5 linked regions of the Rattus norvegicus genome follow. The main gene of each other region encodes a partner of the protein of the gene in region 2 in a complex. Links are inferred from orthologs where the notes say so. Each region holds a gene or a part of one and is shown on either strand. Other genes may lie near its edges. The genes, in order: Adgrd1, Gna13, S1pr2, Gpr35 and Gpr4.

The links.
Region 1: the proteins of Gna13 (region 2) and Adgrd1 are in contact, whole or in part, in a cryo-EM structure (PDB 9V0U), measured with the Homo sapiens proteins. The link is inferred for Rattus norvegicus from reciprocal best matches to the Homo sapiens genes GNA13 and ADGRD1. Residues at the interface, in NP_006563.2 of Homo sapiens: Val49, Val216, Phe218, Phe359, Val362, Lys363, Asp364, Ile366, Leu367, His368, Asn370, Leu371, Gln373, Leu374, Met375; in NP_942122.2 of Homo sapiens: Asn599, Arg601, Leu657, Met660, Val661, Ile662, Val664, Phe665, Ser667, Val737, Ile738, Ile741, Ala761, Val764, Asn810.
Region 3: the proteins of Gna13 (region 2) and S1pr2 are in contact, whole or in part, in a cryo-EM structure (PDB 7T6B), measured with the Homo sapiens proteins. The link is inferred for Rattus norvegicus from reciprocal best matches to the Homo sapiens genes GNA13 and S1PR2. Residues at the interface, in NP_006563.2 of Homo sapiens: Arg47, Val216, Phe359, Lys363, Asp364, Ile366, Leu367, His368, Asp369, Asn370, Leu371, Gln373, Leu374, Met375, Leu376, Gln377; in NP_004221.3 of Homo sapiens: Ser66, Met68, Tyr69, Leu72, Arg130, Ala133, Ile134, Lys136, Val137, Lys138, Leu139, Tyr140, Tyr209, Ile212, Val216, Ser219, Gln227, Thr228, Leu231, Leu232, Val235, Tyr288.
Region 4: the proteins of Gna13 (region 2) and Gpr35 are in contact, whole or in part, in a cryo-EM structure (PDB 8H8J), measured with the Homo sapiens proteins. The link is inferred for Rattus norvegicus from reciprocal best matches to the Homo sapiens genes GNA13 and GPR35. Residues at the interface, in NP_006563.2 of Homo sapiens: Lys46, Arg47, Leu48, Val49, Lys214, Asn215, Val216, Phe218, Arg331, Gln337, Gln338, Lys340, Pro341, Leu342, Tyr343, Phe359, Arg360, Asp361, Lys363, Asp364, Ile366, Leu367, His368, Asn370, Leu371, Lys372, Gln373, Leu374, Met375, Leu376; in NP_005292.2 of Homo sapiens: Phe45, Gln51, Thr53, Thr55, Met59, Asp113, Arg114, Ala117, Val118, Pro121, Leu122, Arg123, Arg125, Arg128, Ala197, Leu198, Arg201, Pro202, Thr204, Asp205, Gly207, Gln208, Ala211, Ala215, Met218, Val219, Ala280, Lys281, Glu282.
Region 5: the proteins of Gna13 (region 2) and Gpr4 are in contact, whole or in part, in a cryo-EM structure (PDB 9JHP), measured with the Homo sapiens proteins. The link is inferred for Rattus norvegicus from reciprocal best matches to the Homo sapiens genes GNA13 and GPR4. Residues at the interface, in NP_006563.2 of Homo sapiens: Arg47, Pro341, Tyr343, Phe359, Lys363, Asp364, Ile366, Leu367, His368, Asn370, Leu371, Lys372, Gln373, Leu374, Met375, Leu376, Gln377; in NP_005273.1 of Homo sapiens: Gln45, Asn50, Arg115, Ala118, Val119, Ala120, Pro122, Leu123, Ala126, Ile204, Val208, Ser211, Val212, Ser213, Thr214, Glu218, Lys221, Ile222, Leu225, Asn290, Glu291, Gly292, Ala293.

Annotation. Positions count from the first base shown.
Region 1 is NC_086030.1:33,212,275-33,215,783, forward strand, and holds part of Adgrd1 (adhesion G-protein coupled receptor D1), read right to left. Parts: intron 3,213-3,509; coding exon 3,033-3,212; intron 1-3,032. UniProt on the Homo sapiens protein: Adhesion G-protein coupled receptor (aGPCR) for androgen hormone 5alpha-dihydrotestosterone (5alpha-DHT), also named 17beta-hydroxy-5alpha-androstan-3-one, the most potent hormone among androgens. Also activated by methenolone drug.
Region 2 is NC_086028.1:94,836,153-94,840,259, reverse strand, and holds the start of Gna13 (guanine nucleotide-binding protein subunit alpha-13), read right to left. Parts: upstream 2,805-4,107; coding exon 2,522-2,804; intron 264-2,521; coding exon 37-263; exon of another isoform or gene 1-36. UniProt on the Homo sapiens protein: Guanine nucleotide-binding proteins (G proteins) are involved as modulators or transducers in various transmembrane signaling systems.
Region 3 is NC_086026.1:27,787,541-27,791,778, forward strand, and holds the start of S1pr2 (sphingosine 1-phosphate receptor 2), read right to left. Parts: upstream 2,805-4,238; 5' UTR 2,704-2,804; intron 1-2,703. UniProt on the Homo sapiens protein: Receptor for the lysosphingolipid sphingosine 1-phosphate (S1P). S1P is a bioactive lysophospholipid that elicits diverse physiological effects on most types of cells and tissues.
Region 4 is NC_086027.1:100,973,093-100,977,386, reverse strand, and holds the start of Gpr35 (G-protein coupled receptor 35), read right to left. Parts: upstream 2,808-4,294; 5' UTR 2,647-2,807; intron 1-2,646. UniProt on the Homo sapiens protein: G-protein coupled receptor that binds to several ligands including the tryptophan metabolite kynurenic acid (KYNA), lysophosphatidic acid (LPA) or 5-hydroxyindoleacetic acid (5-HIAA) with high affinity, leading to rapid and transient activation of numerous intracellular signaling pathways.
Region 5 is NC_086019.1:88,001,810-88,005,075, reverse strand, and holds Gpr4 (G-protein coupled receptor 4), read right to left. Parts: upstream 1,998-3,266; 5' UTR 1,705-1,997; coding exon 607-1,704; 3' UTR 509-606; downstream 1-508. UniProt on the Homo sapiens protein: Proton-sensing G-protein coupled receptor activated by extracellular pH, which is required to monitor pH changes and generate adaptive reactions. Activated by an optimal pH of 6.8-7.2.

The sequences.
Region 1 (3,509 bases), on a different chromosome or scaffold from region 2:
ATGGTATGGTATAGGTATGATATGGTATAGGTATGGTATGGTACAGGTATGGTATAGGTATAGGTATGGTATGGTATAGGTATGATATGGTATAGGTATGGTATAGGTATTGGTATGGTATAGGTATAGGTATGATATAGGTATTGGTATGGTATAGGTATGGTATAGGTATTGGTATGGTATAGGTATTGGTATGGTATAGGTATTGGTATGGTATAGGTATTGGTATGGTATAGGTATGGTACAGGTATAGGTATAGGTATATCAGAAAAAGCATGATCCGGGATAGAACGTGATAAACTGGTCTCCATTAAAACTGGAAACATCTGCTCTGTGAAAGAAGTTGAGCATAGGAGGAAAAGGCCAGCCATGGCTGGGGAAATATCTTCAGTGGATGCTGTTACACGAAATGGGCAAAGAGCTCTCAGACCTCACAGTGAGCGAGTGAACACCCCGCTTAAAGGTAGGTAAAAGGTCCAAGCTCAAAACAGACTCCCCCAACAGACAAGATGTATGATGCCAGGAATGGGCCCCGACATCCCCCCAAATACGTCCACATGAGCACGGCACATCCCTGAAGCATAGTCCAGGGGTGGGATGCTGCTGTGGGGAGGTTGGTCATGCACAGAGCTGGGGAGGCCCCTGGGAGCCCTCTGTTCCGTGGACTCAGTTTCACTATGGGTTTTTAATGCTTTAAAACATGGAGGCTATAGTATAATCGTGCCAGACTAGTGGCCATGCACCTGGTCTACAGAACCGAAGAAGAGGCAGAGTAGGAACCTGGTTTCACTGAGGATGGGCCGCCATGCTGACTAGGCTGTATAGGAGGGCGGGCGCTCCACTAGGAGGCAGCTCCCCTACCCCCTCCTGTCATTAAAAGGCGAAGCCGGGGTGGCGACTCTCTTTTGTTTCCAATGGGAACTTGGAAGACCTGGCTTTTGACATGACATCACAACCTCTGGTCATAGCTCACTCCAACGGACATTGAGAATCTAAAAACCTCAAAGGCCTGACCGGACATTGCCTCTATGACAACATATATAATCAACATGAGGTGACACAATGACTATAGCCAGCCTCCTGGCTCCATCAGACACCTCCTTGGAAGCCTCTGGGTCCTCCTTCTCATCAGTAGGAAGACTGGCCCACAAAGACATCTGTTTTGTAAGCCTGGGTGTAAGACATGCTCCTGGGGTTGACAAAGGTGACACAGAGTAGCCCCCCTCTGAAGGACACACAGCGCCCCTGCCCGTGGGTCACTGTGGACTGCCAGTGATTACATCAGAGCTTCCTGCTGGGGATTGCGTAACACTTCAGTAATCTTGACGCTCTGAGGAACACTTGGGCCCTGGGCAGGGCCAACAAAACGTTATTGTGCTTGACTTTGCAAGCAAGAATAACAAAGCCCTCCAGTGAACAAATGAGGAGCAGATGAGAAAAGGATGTTTACAAGTCTCTCTCGGCATCCCTGGGTTGGAAAACAGCACATGTTCCGTTTCAGAGAACCTGCTAGATGCCTGATGCTTGCCACAGGCCCAGGGCCCATGGGGGGGGGGGGGGGGATGAGCTGTTACCTAGGAAACCTTGACCGCAAGCGGTCCTCACTGAGAGCCTTCGCAGAGACTCAGACAGAGCCTCCACAAGCGGGAAGGCAAAGGTGTTTCCAGCCTTGGAGGTGGGAAAGAATCCAGAAATTTGATATCGTCCCTTGCTGCTTTTCCCCACCTTGCAGAGGAGGAACTACGAGTTCAGCTGAAGCAAGTCCGACACCCACGGAGCAAACCCAAGTCTCCCCGGATTCTGCCACCCATTGTTCAAGACTCCTTTGATCCATCAGCAGGCTGTCTCCCAGTGAAATAGTAACTGTTACTCTTCTCAGTTACAAATGAAGAAATGGAAGAAAAGTTTTTGAATATGATACCAGGCCAGTAAAGCTACAAAGTACAGAGTTAGGACCTGGCCTGACATCTTTACAATTAAGCTGTGTCACCTCCTTCAAATGAGCCAGAAGAGGATGCTGGGCGGCTTCAAAGATACTGTTCTCAACCTTAACCAATGCCGCACCCCTTTAATAATACAGTTCCTCGGGGTTGGGGATTTAGCTCAGTGGTAGAGCGCTTGCCTAGCAAACGAAAGGCCCTGGGTTTGGTCCCCAGCTCCGGAAAAAAGAAAAAAAAAGAAAAAAAATTTAAAAAAAATAATACAGTTCCTCGTGTTGCGATGACCCCCCCCCATAAAATAATTTTCACCCCTACTTCATAACTGTAATCTTGCTGTTGTAATGAATTGTAATTTAAATATCTGATAAGCAGTATATCTGATCTGTGACCCCGGTGGGAATCTCGACCGGTAAGTTGAGAACCGCTGTTCTCAAGGCTTATCATGGAGACCTCTGACTCTATCCTGGCTAGTTTCTATCCAGGCCCTTCCTGCATGCCACATGAAATCCTTCTGTGGACCTAGTCACGTTCCTCCTCTAAAATCTTACACTATCTTTCCTGCTCCTTGTTTCAGATGCCCAGTCTCCAACTCAGCTAATAGCATACCACAGAGCTTCTTCTCTTACGCTGAAACTCAGGCCCTTGGCATCCCAGTCCCCTCTGACTGGTTCTAAAGGTACGTCCTTAATAAGACCATACACTACCACCACCTCTCCTCCTGCCTTACTGCCTGCTCTCTGATTAGCAGCCTGTCTTCCCCAGAACATTTTGCACCGTGAGGGCAGTTTCAAGGCCATATCACCGAATGGTGCTAGACAGGGGGATTTAAATCATGGTCTGTCTTCTGCACATAGCTTCCACCTTAGTCCCAGACAATTACTGGGCACCTGCCATGTCACCTCCATCATGCAGAAAACCAGCCTCACACAGCCACTAGGGCAGCAGCAATCACACAGTGAGCTCATAGGGCTTTGACCTTGGTGTGAAGCCACCTTGTGACCAGTATCCTTCTGGTACCTTCTCGAGCTGCTGGTAGGAAGGAGCCCTGTGCCACACTAATGGGACAGAAGCTCCTTTTGGTGCTTCACTCACCCGGAGGGTTGAAGGTGGCCTTCCACGTCATGGAATTATCTCGTGTGTACAGCTCCACAGAGCCCTTTCCACCACTAAAGCAGACTTTGAACCCGTCAGAGACGACCTGCCCCCCATAAGCGTAGGGGGCTGGTCGGGTCTGTTCTCCTTGAGTCTTCCAGAAGAATGAAAATGACACTCCTGAAGAGAGAAGTAGGCATTTATCAGTTAGTGCTTCAGAGGCACGAAATGACACAGCTCTATCCGGTGAGGGACAAGTGCCGTCCCGAGAGTGCGACCTGAGCCATCGCCTCCTTCCAAATAGTGCAACGCTCCCATTCCCAAGTCACAGAAGAGGGAACCGAGACCACTCAGTGAGTGACAGAAGGAAGTCAGACACGGACCCAAGCTGACTGCCTCTGGGTTGTGCGAACGTGAACCTTTTCGTGACGGTCTCCACCCCACCTGCTCACCCCGATCCTGACAACGATTTTACAC
Region 2 (4,107 bases):
AAATAAAAACACATTTTAGACAAGCGAATGTCTTACCAGTTGGAATTCCCGGCGCCGATCGTAGGCATTCTGTATGCCACTGTCATCCCATAAGGCTCTTATAGCAGGAAGATACTGCAAAAAAACTCGAGTCTCCACCATCCCCTGGGCAGCCATGGGAGCTCGGGTATCAAATGCCATCAACTTGTCTCCGTGGACCTGGTTTTTGTTATCTCCCCAGGGAATATGAAGCTTCTCTCGGGCATCTACCAGCACCCTCATACCTTTGTTTAAAAAGAAAAAAAAAAAAAAACTGTGAGGAAGAGTCATGAAGATACCACCAGAGGCTTTGGCCCCAGGGTTGGTCAGTATTGGTTCCTTAATTTTTAGCTATCACAGAAGCCCCACTTCCAAAATGGAGACCAAAATCAAAACAAAACCTTTATGTTCTCAGAGTTAAGAAACAAGTAAGTGTTCATTGTTTCTCAAAACCAGAAGCCTTGAAAATATTAATAACAAGAACACTTTGGGAAGGATTTTAATATGCTGCGATTCATAAAAACCATTTCTGGAGGAGGGCAGTCAAAACCAGAGACGGAAAAAATAAATAATGTTGTCTAGCCTGAAGCCAGGCTAAAGTCAGCCTGGCACACGCTAAGAACGGTTTACGGTGTGCAGTCGTAGTCCTTCAGCTCCCTGCCCACACTATCTTCTAGGACACACTGAACCTCAAAGCTTCCTCAGTCCAAGCTTCTAATCAGTGCAGTCACACACTGGCTGTAGAGTTACCCAAAAGGAAAACCAACTGCAAAATAATCCGAGACTGCACTTACACAGGTTAGCCCGAACTCCACGACCCTGTGGCTACACTGCTACTTCTGTCACCGGGAAGTCATTTCTTAGGATACTCGAAGAAAAAAAATTAAGCTTTCACTTTTCTGACCACGGCGATTGAAGAAAATAAGATGCCTAGTTAGACTTAGACTTGATCACACAATAATGCTCAAAGTAGCTCTTAGGCCCAGTGTATAAGGAAAAGCAGGTGATTTCCCTCACTCACAAGTCTGTTCATTAACATAATTCTTTTAAGTTCAACTGTATCAGGATACAAAGGTACCTTCAATTAAGGGCTGGCAAGGTGCAGTTTACAGCCTTAGAGGAGACTTTAATTAGTTTTGTGCTGAGCATTAAGGCAGACTACCCACAACCATCCTTTTCACTTAACAGCAAAGGTACAAGGTCTTAAGTAAGAGCAAGCCATGGTCTGCTCTTGGCCTCGCCCTGCCCTCTCCTCTCACTGCCCAGCAGCGAATCCTCTTTAGTTCTTCCCTACTTGAAACACTGATGGGGGGAGGAAGGGACCCATGAGGGAGTTTGCTTATGCACTTCTTGAACAACAACAAAAAACTGGCTTTGAAACAACTCCCTGAAAAGACCTACAATCTTACAGTTTGCTTCTGAGCCCAAGATTTAATAGGGTGACTCCTCGACCCCTCAGAAATCGGCTGCTGTGCCCCAATCCTGCCAACTTCTCTTACACAGAAAATATTTGACACTAAAGGGGAAAAAAGGGCGATTCTTTTAAATGACAAAATAAAAAGCCACCTCCGCGACTTATCTGAACACTAAGGAATACTTTGTGTGGTTTTCACTTAGGAACAGTCTTTAAAACACTGTTCAACAGGATTTGTAAAGCCCATCATCCAACTCAATGCATATTCCCCGCCTCTCACTAACTTGTCTTGGATGGTCTTCTAAGACTTTTATGCCAAAGGGTCTTTATATTTAAACATGAATTCGTTTAAGCATTGGTAACGATGCCGTTTTTCTCCTGCCTCAAGTTATTAAGCAAAAAGAAAAAAAAGTGTGCAACATGTTGGGCTGTAATTACAAACATCCTGTAGCAATGAGCCGATAAAACCACTGGCGCTATTTTTTTTAATAGACTTTCCTGATGCCAGTTCAGTAAACGCGAGTTTCATACTCTTACCTCAAAAGGCTCTAGAGGCTGTCACTCTATGCCCTTGACAAGAGTCTCAGGGCAAAAAAAAGTTTCCTCATTACGACCGTTCCAGAACTTGCTTAAGTCAAGAGGTGGCCTAGGACGCCCAGAGCTGTAAGGGTGACAGACCGGGTTACTAGAGTCACCCACTCTGGACGGGCAAATAAGGGAAGAAGAATAGAACCTAAAGCTACTGATGGGTGGTCGTGCCTGGAGTTCAGGGAGGACACAAGTTGCCCCGCTGCCCCGAGTCACTCTGCTCGCCGCACTTCCCTCTCGGAGGGGGCGAGGCCAGCCGCGGAGTGCGGGGCCGACCGTGACCCTCACTGGGGTAGCACGGGGAGGGGGCGGGGGGACAGCAGGGCGTCCCGGATCGAAGGGACTCGGGCACCGCAGCGCACAGGACGGTGACCGAGGCGCGCCCACAGGATTGCCCGTCCGATCTGGTCTGGTTCGGTCTCCTCAGACTTGGGACCGGCGGGTGAGGGCGGTGCCCAGCCCGGCTCCCCTGGGGTCCCCAAGCCCCGCCGCGCCCCGCACCTTTGATCACGTTGCTGTAGATGGTGGGGCGGAACTCCTCGCGCGCGCGCTGGTCGAAGTCCTGGCCGTGGATGATCCGCATCTGCTTCAGGAAGGTGGACTTGCCGCTCTCGCCCGCGCCCAGCAGCAGGATCTTCACCAGCCGCTTCACGTAGGTCTTCTCCCGCGACAGGCATTTGTCGATCTCCTTGGACTTGCGCTGCTGCTCGGCCTCGCCGTTCGTCAGCACGCAGCCCGGGAAGCACACGGACAGCACGGAGCGCGACGGCAGGAAGTCCGCCATCTTGCCGCCGCCGCCGCCTCGGCGGGCCCCTGCGGCTCCTCCACCTCCTCCTCCGGCAGCGGGTGGCTCCGGCAAGGCGGCTGGAGGGCGGGGAGCGCAGCGGCGGCCCGAGCGCGCCCGGGGAGGGAGGGAACCCGAGGACTGACTCGCCAGGGCGGGACGCGCCGGCCGGGGGAGGGTGGGAGGGAAGGAGGGCGGGCCCGGGGAGGGGCGGCGGCCCTCTGGGCGTGCGCGCGCCCGCCGCCTGCCGGGTGCGCGCACGCAGGCACGCAGCGGGGGCTGGGGGGGGCGGCGCGAGTCACGCGCTCGCTGGCCTGGCTGAGGCCAGGAGCGCGCGCGGAGAACTGCGGAGTCCGGGGTCACGTGGGCCAACCTGGGCGCGCGCGCGCCTGCGGATCCAGAGTTTCTGTTTCCCTTTAGTGCCACCGTTTCCCGGAGCCCCGAGGCGAGTAAGCAAAGCCCATCCAGACCCCTTTCCGTTAAGGCATCCTTATCTCTACAGTTTCCACTGCTCTTTCCCATAGTTCCTCGCCCGCCGCTTACTGTCACCTTCACGCGACCATTGGCTGGGACATCCCTGCACGGACCAGGGCATTCGTTACATTTTGCCTTTTTTTTTTTTTTTTTTTAAATTCTTGAGACAAGTTCCCTGCGGCTGTAGCTGGCTTAAATCTGTGACAATTGTCTTATCTCAGCCTCCCTGTCTACTTCTGGTATTACAGGCCGGCCAGGGCTTTATTTCAAGCTCGTGCACTTAATTAGCAGCGGTCACCGCCTCCCCCCCCCACGGCCCTCACCCTACCCCTGCCATCCTAACCATCCCGAAGGATAAGTAGATGTCGGATGTCCTTATTGATCAACACCTCTTCCTAGCAGCTCAGGGCACTATTGATAACCTGCCCTGGCTGGCTCACTAATGTGGATTCCCAGCCGGGCTGCATTTGTGACTTGGGTAATGCCTGCTGAGGTCAGTGAATGGTGGAGAGGGTGAGGTCATGTTGAAAATCCCCCTAAACCGGACACTATGATGCGATGCTCATTCTTCCCAAGGAAGCAGATAAGCGTTCAGCCTAGGACTGCGGCAGGCACATTTTAGGTTTCCTGCCAGACTTCAGAGGATATGACAGACAAGAAAAATTTTTTTTTCTGTCACACCAGCAGATCAGGCCTAACACCTGAAAAGACTCCCAGGGAACACGTGACAAGTGACATCTGAGTGACTGTGTAGCAAAGACCTCAGAAGCCAACTTCTTCATTCTTTGTCAGTTTCAAAGGGGAAAGGCGGTTTGATGCCTGTCTGGTT
Region 3 (4,238 bases), on a different chromosome or scaffold from region 2:
CCCACCTCCACACAGTGGTCCAGATTGCCTTTTAGAGGCAGGGGAAGTTGTCATAGAGACTAGGCTCTATTGGAAATGAGCCTGACTGGTTCATACCTATAAGCCCAGCAACACAGGGAGCTGAGGAAGATGGAGAGTTCAAAACCAGCCTAGGCTACATAATGAGTTGGAGGTTAGCTTGGGTAGCACAAGGAGACCCTGACTCAAGTAAAAGTTAAATGGGAAGGCTGGGAGATGTTGAGATGGCTCGACTTGTCACCAAGCTTGGAGACTTGATCCAGCCCCACTACCCCCACAGAGAAATGACTTGCAAAAGATTTTTTTCTGACTTGCACACCCATGCCATGAAACACACATGCCCACACATATATACATGCCCACAAAATAAATAAGTGTAAGTTTAAAATGTATTAAAAAAGCACTGTGTTGGGGTGCACACTTTTAATCTTCACACTTGAGAGACAGACATGCAAATCTCTGTGAATTTGAGGCCAGCCTGATCTACGTAGTGAGTTTCAGGGCATTAGAGTTACCTGGTGAGACCCAATGAGACCCAGTCCATAAATACATAAAATTAAGAGAATTTGGTGTGGCTTAGAGACACTGCATCATTTTGAAGCCCTGGGTTCCCAGGACTGCAGAAAAGATATGAGGAAGAGGAGCAAGTGAAAGGGTTTGGAGTGAAGGAAGAGAGATAGACCCAGACATGACTGCTTAGCTAAAGATTAGTGGAGAGGAAGGCTGAAGGAAGGCCTGGTGGCTCCCCTCCACTCCCTCCCAGTTCCAGAGCTCACTCATCCCTCCCAAGCAGCTGGGGAAGCTCAGCCCTGCAGGAGCCTCCCCCCACCCCTTTGGTTGCTGTGTGGGTGTAGCCCCTCCTACATGGCTGCTGCCCACCAAGCTTGCAGGGGAGAACTGACAGAACTCCGAAATTCATCCTCACCCCACCCGCCACACTCTCCTAGGGCTCCCTACGGCGCAAGTGTACACCACACTAACCTCCCAAGACCCATCTGAATCTGGATCTCAGGGCCTTCAGACCCGCTATAGTTGCCTCTGGTATATCCTACAGACCCCCCCACACACACATACACACACCGCCCACACACAAACACCTTTTCTGGCAGACTATCTTATCTTTGGATTTCATTTGACCGTCACTGTCTAGGCCTTCAGGAACTACCTTCTCGATTTGTTTTCGTTTTGGGGACAGTGCCTTACTGGGTATCCCAGGTTGACCAGAAACTCACAACTCATGTATAGCAAGCTGGCCTTGAATTCACAAAGATGCCCCCTTAACTCGGCCTCTTGAGCACTGGGATTAAAGAACCGAGAGTTTTGTCCAGCACAGCCCAGCCCCAATTTCTATCAGAGCATCTGGCTTTATCATCGGAAATTATCTTGTTTTCCACAGTACGGTGTGAGGCCAGCTACCAAGTTCACCCTCAGCCTCCCGTGCCATGATGAATGAATGAAAGAGCCCCAAATTGGAGGGCTAACATGCAAAGCATGAGGACATCAGTCCCCTGGCAGCACCCCTCCCCAACCACTACACGAAGCCAGGAGCGTCTCCATAGCGACGACAGTAAGACCCGCCCGGCTCAGGCAGCACTCTCCGGGCTCCTTATCAGGCCGAGGAATGCGTGGTATCCAGATTCGCTCGCGCTGGGGCGGCGCCATCTCTCTCCCGAGACCCCGACACGCGCGCAGAATGTCCCTATCCTGCACAAGGCAATAGGGGGAGGCGACACTCTGCATCCCACCAGAGAGCCCCCACATCTAGATTCCCGGGGCAAAGGAGAGAGTAGCTACCAGTAACTACATTCCCTCCCCCATCAGTGATGCACCCACGTTGCCCCACAGGGGACAGTAGGCTCAGCGGGTGTCGCCTCGGGTATCTAACAAGGATAGGGACGGGGGTGGGGGAGATGGAAATCCCCGGGTGAGTCAACCCGTGCTGTAGAAGGGGGCGAGGTTCCAAGCTGTGTAGCCCGCGACGACGCGGACTCCACGCCACGCGTGCCTTCCTTCACTCCTACGCCCCATCCCTGGGCTAGGACGAGAAGAGGAGATACCAGGACTTTGCAGTTCAAATCCCTTTACTTCGAAACAAAGTGATTCTCCCGAAAGGTAGACTGAAGGAGAGGGGCAACTAAGGGAAACTGAGGCAAAAAACAAAACAAAACAAAAACAAAAACAAAAAAACCCCCCAAAAACTAGTCTCACTGGCGGTAGAGCGATGGTCTAGGCCAGGGACCCCGCCCATGACCTCCGAGCATCCGCGGCTTCTATGTAGCACCTTTCATCCTAACTCAAGCCGGAGAAAGAAGGGATGCTGCACCTCTCCCTAACAACCTCACTGCCCCAAACTCTGCTTCCTCAGAACCCCCATCCAGTCTTGCAAAGTCGCCAGCCCAAAGAGGTCGGATTCCGCCTTTCTCTACAGCGCCAACTTCCTGCCCGAAGGAAGGCGGGGAGCTCAGTCTGGGGGTGCGCCACAGAGTTAGTGGGGAGCTGCCTGGAGTGGTGGGCAGGGGCGCATGGTGGATGATCGGTCCCTTCGGTGCAGCAGAACCTGGAGCAGCGCGTGCAACGCCTGTACGAGCGCCTGACCCCGGGCCAGGCCCCCAAGCTGGGATCCCTGGGTCTCAGTGGAGCGCGGCCCGCCCAGATCGGAACCTCCCCTTTGCCCCGCGCGCTCACCTGGCTAGGCCGGCCAGGGTCCCTGCCCTGGCCTGAGTGGCCTTGGCGTCTGCGCCCCGGGACAGCCAGTGGCTGACTTTGGTGACTGTTGGCTGTGCTCGGTCTATGTCCCGGAGTTGGGGACCCAGGACAAGAGAGAGGCGGGCAGAGCCGCCGCCTCCGGCCCCAACTCCCTGCTCGCCCCGCCTACTCTCCTCCTCTTTCCGGCTGCGACTTGCAATGAATTCCAGATGTGGCCCTCCAGTTAGCCAGAGCGTGCAAGGGGGAAGAGCATGGTCCCTTTGTCCGCACCAGCCCCCCCCCCATCCCGCCCTGCTCCTCCCAGCCCCCACTCGTGAGAACTGCCGTCGCATGATGTCACGGCCGCGTGACGTCACAGCTCTCTTAACCCAGGTGGCCTAGTCCTGAAACAACTGTATTTCCATTTGGCTTAGCTCCAGGCTGACACCTGGGACCTGAAAATGGAGGAAATCACGCTTACCTACTATGTGAGGACTCAGCAATTCAGGATTAAGCACCTACTTTGTGTTTCTACAAGAAATTACTTCCTACATTGTGCCATGTCCTGTCCTCAAAATAGAACTGTTCATTGACTTGGTAAGAACCCTCAAATCGAACTGGGTGTTTGTGGCACAAATGCCTGTCATCCCAGCATTTGCCACCTAGAAGGTCGGAAGATCAGGAGTTTAATGTACCTAGCAGCCGTAGCCAGTACTGCCTGCTCAAGACCCTTTCTGAAAAACAACAGGCGGGGCCGTGGATTCAGGCGGTTGAGTGTTTGCCTAGCGTGCATCCCCAACGCTGCAAAAATATGGAATGGTGGCTTGGACATCTAATTCCAGCCCTTGTGAAGTAGAAGCAGGAGGTATGTTTTAGAGTTCAAGGCCAGTCTTGATCACATGATCCTGTTGGCTCTGGCCCTCCAAACGAGTCAGAGTGAAAAAAATTCCAAAATTAGAGTAACAGAAGGCCAGCTGTCTGGCTCCACTAGGCAGGGAGGGGAAAGTGCTTGCTTGCCTGGAAGCGTGACGTGAGTTCAGCTCCTGGAAACAAAGTTGGCCTCCGACCTCCACAGGACACATTGGCATTGCTACACCTGCTTGCGCACACCGATACATACACAACAAATGCATTAAAAAACAAAGAGTAACAGGCTGCTGAGCCCTCAGTGGGTAAGGCCCTGCTGGGACCCACCTGGTGGAGAGCGAGAACCACCAATTCCTGCAAGTTGCCCTGTGGCCTCCAAGGACTGCTGCCCTGACGCCTGTGCACACCCGCATGCATGCGCACACTCAGAGATATGAAGTTAAAATTAGTAAATTGTTAAAAGGTGCCAAAGAAATGGCTCAAATGGTCAAGAGCACTTCCTGCTCTTGCGAGGACAGAACTTGCCAGCATCCTCAGACCTGACAACCTCTTATGAGTCCAGTCCCTGGGGGATCCAACACTTTCAGCCTCAAGGGCACTTGCACTCACGTGCACATACCCACAGTTGCACGTAATTAAAAGCAAAACAGAAAAATTAAACACACAAA
Region 4 (4,294 bases), on a different chromosome or scaffold from region 2:
CGGCCCCACCTCAAAGGATAACAAGGTGCCCAAAATGGTGACACCGTTGGGCTCCACTTGAACTGAAGTCTCTCCCCATCTCAGGATCTCAAGCTTTCCAGCTCCTCAATGAAATCCCACCTGGAAGTCACCACCCCCCACCCCCACCCCAACCCACCCCACCCTCACCCCACACCCCACCCCATCCCCAACCCCCTCACCCCACACCCCTCCCCACACTCATTCCCCACCTCCACCCCCACCCCCACATTCAACCTGGTATCTTTTTCAGGAAGCGGCCATGAGACACCCTGGACACACCCTTACTCCATCCACCTTCTCCCACCTTGGACCCAGCAGCCCTTCTTCAGGGCCCAGCATCCATGATCCCTCTAATCTCAGCTTTCTACTTTCTCTCCGGCTCTCCATGGGGACTGCTGGACATTTCCCATGCCACGATTTCCTCCTGGGTGTTTTTGACCACCTGTTGCTGTCCTCCTCTTTGAGCTTGTGCCTTTGTCTCCTCTACAAGGTGAGCCTGACAAGGTACAGTTAAGTACCAGGCCAGGGCTCTCACCTCCAACCCCAGAACCTGGGGAAAACCACTGTCCTGGTCCATGGCTCTGTAGGCCTTGTCCAGCAGCTGTATGCCAAGGCCCAGACTTTTGTCTAGGAGCTAATTCTTACAAAACTCTCATCTGAGCAATAGGCAAGCAGTGTCTCATGGATGTCACAGGATCTGGGACTCTCCTGAAAGTCCCTGGTAGAGTAAGGCTACAGGGAGTGGGGTCTTCATTACGCAGACTTGACAGAGGTGGCTCTGTGGGGATGAGTGACTGGGACACTGTTATCTCTGCCCACCCCAACTTTTCTGCGTATTTGAAAATTTCCATATGTTTGCAAAAATAAAGAAATGACCCCACATCTAACTTGGAGATGTCTGTGGAGAGCAAAGTCCATCAGTTCTTTAGACAGACAAATCAGTCAGGCAGTTGAGGGAGATGGTGCCACACGGCTAGTAACTTTGTTGTAGGGTCCCTTCACTCTGAAACTTGTCTCATATAGCCCCTTGATGTCTGCACCCCAACTCTCTTGGCCTTCTTGAATAAATAAGGCCCCTCAGGCTCCTCCAACTTTCTGTTATGACAGCAAGAACTTCTACCCTGAAAGTGATTTGTGTTGTGAGTCACTGGGGAGACCTAAAGTGTGAGGAGACCTAAAGGATCGATTAGGCAGCCATTTTCTGTATCCTCTCTTAAACAAAAAATTGTCCTACGGCCTCTGAGATTTATCTATGCAATCACGCAGGGCTACGACAGAGCCGGTAGTCTGAAGACAAAGGTGTGAGCGTGGAACTAAGAGAGCAGGCCTGGCTAGGCCTAGATTCGCTCCCCACTCAGGTGCCTGTCATGCCCCCACAAACCAGCTTGTATTTTCTACTCAGACTGATTTAAAATGATCATTTCAACAAAAATGTGGCAAAGGCAAAAAGAAGAAGTCAACTTAGTTTCAGGAAAAGCACTGAGGTTAAGCTCTTTGTAGTTGGTCATATCTGAGATCCGGGAAGCCTACGGCCTCTGGTGAAGTCACTGACTCTCTGACTATGCCCAGGCTTCCTGGAAATGAAGGCTTATCCTTCCACTCAGAGGTACTCACTCTCCCTTGGACAGCTCCAACTTTGCTGCTTCTTGGCTGCCTGTGCTAGGAGCTGCTAAAAGCTCCTTCCGGGCTCTGTTCCCAGAAGCTGAACCTCTCTGTCCACCTGTAACTAGTTAAGCGTATTCCCGGCATAATTACTGCAGCCCTGTTTGGTGCGAATGACCTTGCCCTCATCATCTCTCGTCTTCCCGGCCTCTCTTCTGTCTCAGACAGCACAGAGATCTGATGCCCAGGTTCATTCCTTCAGTGGGCAACTCTGGCCTCTGCCTATGCTAGCTCTATGGTCCTCTGCCGGTGAAATTTCCATAGGTCATAGTTGAGAGCTCTGATGGGAAGAAGCTACAATAGGATGCTCAAGAGACTTGGTGAAAACCCAAAGAATCCTCAAATATTGAATAGGACCCTGAGAGAGCCCTGAAGGAAAACTAAAGGAGTTATTGAGGGAGATTTACAAGAGCTTTGAGGGGAATGACATGAAAGACTTCTGGGGACATCTGAAAGAGTCCTGAAGAGATTCTGAGGGAATCTGAGGAGAGCCTGAAGTAATCCTGAGGGTTCTAGGGGAGCCTGAGGAGACCTTGAGGGGACACCGATAAGGTCTGAGGGATCCTGAAGCAGTTCTAAGAGGGGTCTATGGACTTCCTGAGAGGGCCCAGAGAAGAGCTGTCAGAGTTCTAAGTCCTAAAGAGCTCTGTATTGCGAGGTGGTGCTGAGTGGTGGCAGTAACGGCCACTGTCCTTCCTGCCCCACTCATCCCTCTTCTGTAGGAGGCCAGCACCCACCTCCAGCAGCCAATGTGTCCTGAGAGACATACGGGTATAATCCTTCCTTCTAGGAAACTTGTGTCCACAGATGGTTTAGGTCAACAGACACCCCAAAGACTACAGAAGAATCATTATCCTCTGAGAGAATCTGCCTTGCCCAGAGATCACAGCAGGAGGATCCTGCAGACTGAGGGAAGGGGGAAGCTCACTGACATCCAGTCTCACACCCTGGTGGTTCACTCACCTCAGGCAATGCTCTTCTACTCCAGGCTGGCCTTCCCCAAGTGCTGCTCAGTTTTAGTGCTGCCAGACACCTCTGTGGAACCCCCTCTGACGCAGTGGAATGGGACCGTGGTTGCTGCCCACATGACAGTTTCTGCCTCATTAGAGCCTCTTTGCCCTTTATTGCCCTCAAATTGCCTCCCTCACTCTTGGCCCTCCTTCCCCTTTCTTGACTAGAAGGCTGGCTTCTGGCCTCATGCCAGGCCCACTACTGGAAGATGCTGTCTCCCTTCATAGCCCTCTAGTCACCAACTGTCTTTCCCAGCCTCAAGATGATTTCAAGAACGCTATACCTTTCTAGCAGAGTCTTCTCCACACAATCCACCTCTAATCTGAGGGCCCCTCTAGCTACCCACCCTCCTAATACGGAGCCTTGACAGGCTTCTTGAAAAAAAAAAAAAAAAAAGCTCACAGGTCCTGACCTATGCCAGAGACCTCAGACTAAAGAAATCTTCTGGGACAAAAATGTCAGCTCATGCCAGCCAGTAGTGGAACATGCCTTTAATCCCAGCACTTGGGAGACAGAGGCAGGATCTCTGTGAGATCGAGGCCAGCCTGATCTACAGAGCTAGTTCTAGGACAACCAGGACTATACAGAGAAACACTTTCTCAAAAAAAAAAAAAAAAGCCAGCTCACGAGAGTTGTGTGAAGTGAATATCTTACTCTATCTCTCCCCTCAGACACCAGCCTTCTGCTTGCATAAGGTAGCATGTCTTGGGAGGGCCGGGAGTTGGCTTAATTGGTGCCTTAGACACACGAAGGCAGCCTTCTTGAGAAACACGGGACTGAGGGTTCTCACAGCTACTCCAGGGCCACCAGCCCTCTGAGCCACTTCCTCCAAGGTTGAGCAAGATGTGGCTGATGATAGACACACATGTGCGTGAACTGTTAGAGATATGAAAAAGTTATCCAGCCTGATCAAGGGAAGACAGGCACAAATGCAGCTCTCTACAGCACTGTGACCCCTCTCCATCAAACGGGTACATGTCCAAAAGTCGTGTTGATCTGAGTGACTTCCTCTGGCATGACTCATTGATCCCTAAGATGTTAGATGTCAGGCAAAACGAGAACTGTGATAATTATCTGACCCGATAACCTCATATCTAGGAATCTACCCCAGACAGTGAGAAAATGATGAGCGAATGCTTCAGGGTCAGCAATGCAGTGCAGACCTACAGAGTGGTCATAGCCTCACACTTGAGTCTGCAAGGCTGGCAGCATGGAGCACTGCAGAGCTGTAAGAGGCAAGAGGGTATTCTGTGTCTAAAATCTATTTTTAAGTTGGGCGGTGGTGGTGCACACACACCTTTAATTTCAGCACTTAGGAGCCAGAGGCAGGAGGATCTCTGAGTTCAAAACCAACCTGGTCAACACAGTTCCAGGACAGCCAGGGCTACGCAGAGAAACCCTGTCTTGAAAAACAAAACGAAACAAAACAACAACAACAACCAAGTCTTTCTAAGTGTGTGCGTGTGCGTGCATGTGTGTGTGTGTGTGTGTGTGTGTGTGTGTGTGAGATGGTGGGGTTGAGGGAGTATACTAGAACATTATGGCCCTCTTTTTGCCTTTTATTTTTATACAGGATCTTACTAACTTTCCCAGGCTGGTT
Region 5 (3,266 bases), on a different chromosome or scaffold from region 2:
ATGGATTCCAGTCAGGGGCTCTACCAGTGAGCCACGCCCCCAGCCCCTCACTGGGGGATTCTAGGCAGGGGCTCTACCAGTGAGCCACGCCCCCAACCTCTCACTGGGGGATTCTAGGTAGGGCTCTACCACTGAGCCATGCCCCAGCTCCTCCCTGGGGATTTTAGATAAACACTGCTAGGTTACTTCCCCAGGCTTTGCTGTGTTTAACACTTTGAGACAGGGTCTCACTTTGTAGTCCAAGTGGGTCTTGAACTTCCAAATTCTTCCTCAGCTTCCCAAGTAGCTGGAGTCACAAACTTGTAGCATCTGATCAGACTCTTCTGTCTAGAAACCAAACAGTTGACTTGATTATCCCCTCATCCCAAACTCTCCATGGCTGACTCGCCATCTGGGAGTCCATGATGACAAACTCCCAGCTGTGTCACTCCCCTTCAGGCCCTGCTGGAATAAAGTGAATCATTGGGCATCATAGTGGAAGAAGATGGCTGAGAGAGACACACCAACCTCATTTTTCTCTTGTATTCGTATGAATATCCACATGGCCATATTTACATACATTTGCATACAATGGGGAGGGTGCAGGATGACAGTTGGGCATGGGGCTCACTGTGCCGGGGGCAGCAGCACCTTCAGTGGCACCTGGTCCCCCTGGGCAGTGGGAGGCACTGCCCAGACAGCCCCAGACGTTTTGCCGGTGGTGCTCCTCTTGGAGGTCAATGGTGTCTCCAGGGTGAGGGAAGCATTGGCCATCTCCTGGGGCTTGTTGCTGGCCAGGAAGCGGAGGAGGTTGTGCAGGGCTTTGGCCACGTCACTACGGGCACCCTCGTTGACCAGGCAGTAGAGGATGGGGTCAGCCACGCAATTGAGGCTGGTGAAGGCTAGGGAGCTGTGGTAGGCAGAGAAGACTCGCTCCTCGAAGCCACAGTCCCAGGGCCGGCCCAGATAGACAGCGCTGCGAGACAGCAAGAGAGCATGGTAGGGTGCAAAGCACACCAGCACGATGGCGATGAGGCTCAGGGCCAGGCGTTTGATCTTGACTTTCTCCTGGCGCTCGGTGGACACACTGCTCTGTACGGCCCGCAGGATGCCGCGGTAGCACAGCAACATGAGTGCCCAGGGGAAGAGGAACCCCACAAAGACGCGGTACAGGTTCATCCAGGCCACCCAGCGCTCCATGGGGAACTTCTCGAAGCAGAAGGTGTGGTTGTAGCGATCACGAAAGAGCTCGTCATGAAAGAGCGGTGCCGAGTTGGCGCCTAGCTCGGTGGCCCAGACCACGGAGCTCACAGCTACTGCTGTCTTGACCCGGCGCAGGCGCGCAAAGCGCAGCGGATGGGCCACAGCCAGGTAGCGGTCCACGGAGATGCAGCACAGGAAGGCGATGCTGATGTAGATGTTGCTGTAGAAGATGAAGCCAAAGAGCTTGCAGGAGCCGGGGCCGTGGATCCAGTTGTCATGGTGGAGGAAGTAGTCGACCCACAGCGGCAGCGTACAGATGTACAGCAGGTCTGCGATGCTCAAGTTCATCAGGTAGACGCCCAGCTCATTGCGCTGGCGCACCTGGCGGTAGGCTGCCCACAGGGCCAGGCAGTTGGTGGGCAGCCCCACCCCGATGACGAAGATGTAGAGGGATGGTGGGAAGAGGTGGTCCACTCGAGAGTCCACATGGCAGCCCTCCCACGTGCCCGTGCTGTTGTCCATCCTGGGCGATGGGACTTCCCAGGCGCTTCCCCTGGCCCACTGGGGCTACAGGGCCACGGGGGGCGGGAGGCCATCAGGCCCCCTGAGCCCCCTCTTTGGAGGCTCAGGGAAGCATCACAGGAGACAGTTCACAAGGAGTGAGATCCGAGTTGCTTTGTGGTAGGCTAAGCAAAAGGAGAACTTGAGAGGAAGAACGTCAAGGAGTGATGGAGATAGGATAAGAGGTGGGACTAATGTCAGTGGGGGTTTCTGCACAACAACCAGAGCGCAAAGATGGGGGCACCAGAAAAATAGGTGAAGGCAGTGTTTACGGGGGAGATGAAGACACCAGAGGTGTCATGCTTATTGTCAATAGGGACATGATGAAGTACCAGTGGGATTGAATGTTCTAGAACACTAAGGGAAGACACAGGGGAGCTTTGAGAGAAGTTACAGAGTTGGCAGGATGCAACTTAGAATGCTGGCATCTGCTAGGACCGCAGCAGGAAACAGAGAACTATGTAAAGTCACCAATGGGGGAAGGAAAGTGAGGTCTCCTCTGGGGATGGGCAAAGAGGAAGGGCTTGTAAGGGCTGGTGACTGTAGGAAGGGATGCTAGGAAACAGGAAGGTGAGTAAGTGGCGGAGCACAAGAGGATTGTGGGTAGGAGGGGGACTCCGAAGGGGGTTCCAGGAGACTCAGTTGATCCTGGTGGAGACTGAGGAGTGGAGATGAGGTTGTCCCACTCACGACTGTACTGATAGCTGAGGTCACTAGGCCTGAGGGGAGAGAAAACATTAGAGAAACTGGCATGGATGTCCATACTGGCCTCCCCAGGACCTTCCCGTTATTCCTGTGGAAGACAAAAGGAACACCCCAACAAAGCCTGAGTATCACCCTGAGGCAGAGATGTCTAAGAGCATAGGATTTAGGGTGCTGGGCAATAGAGGGACTTTCCAAATACAAATTAAAGACCCAAAATGTCGGCATGTGTCTTTGAACCAGAAGGTGGAGGATGGACAGTTAGGAGTTCAAAGTCATCCTCCACTACATACTGGGTTTGAAGCTATGAAAACGTGTTTTTAAGTAAGCAGTGGATGGTGAGGAGTGTGGAGATGGCTCAATGGGGAAAGGAGCTTTACAACTAGAGTTCGATTCCAGGAACTCACACGGTGGAAGAAAGGAACCAATTCTATAGGTTGTCCTCTGACTCCCGCTTATACAGAAAGGCAAGCGGAAGCAAGCGCGCATGCATATGCTCTTTAACAGAGAGCAGATACAGCTTTGACAAGGAGCACCACTCAGATCTGTCCAAGGTCCTGATGCCCAAGGTGGGAAGTCTCTGCCCTCAGCCCCCTTTCCCAGACAGCCCTTCGTTTCCCAGAGTCCCACTGGCGTAAAAGGACCTCGGGGTTGACAGTGGGGCAGAGCAGGAGTTGTTAGACTCTGAAAAGGTCATGGTTAGGGACACGAGTTGCAGCCAGCAGGGGGCGCAGCCCTCACAGGCGTCCCTCTCCTTTACCCGCTGTCCAGTAAGGACCCGGAACCTTTATTCTGCGAAGATCTACATGTTTATAGTAGAC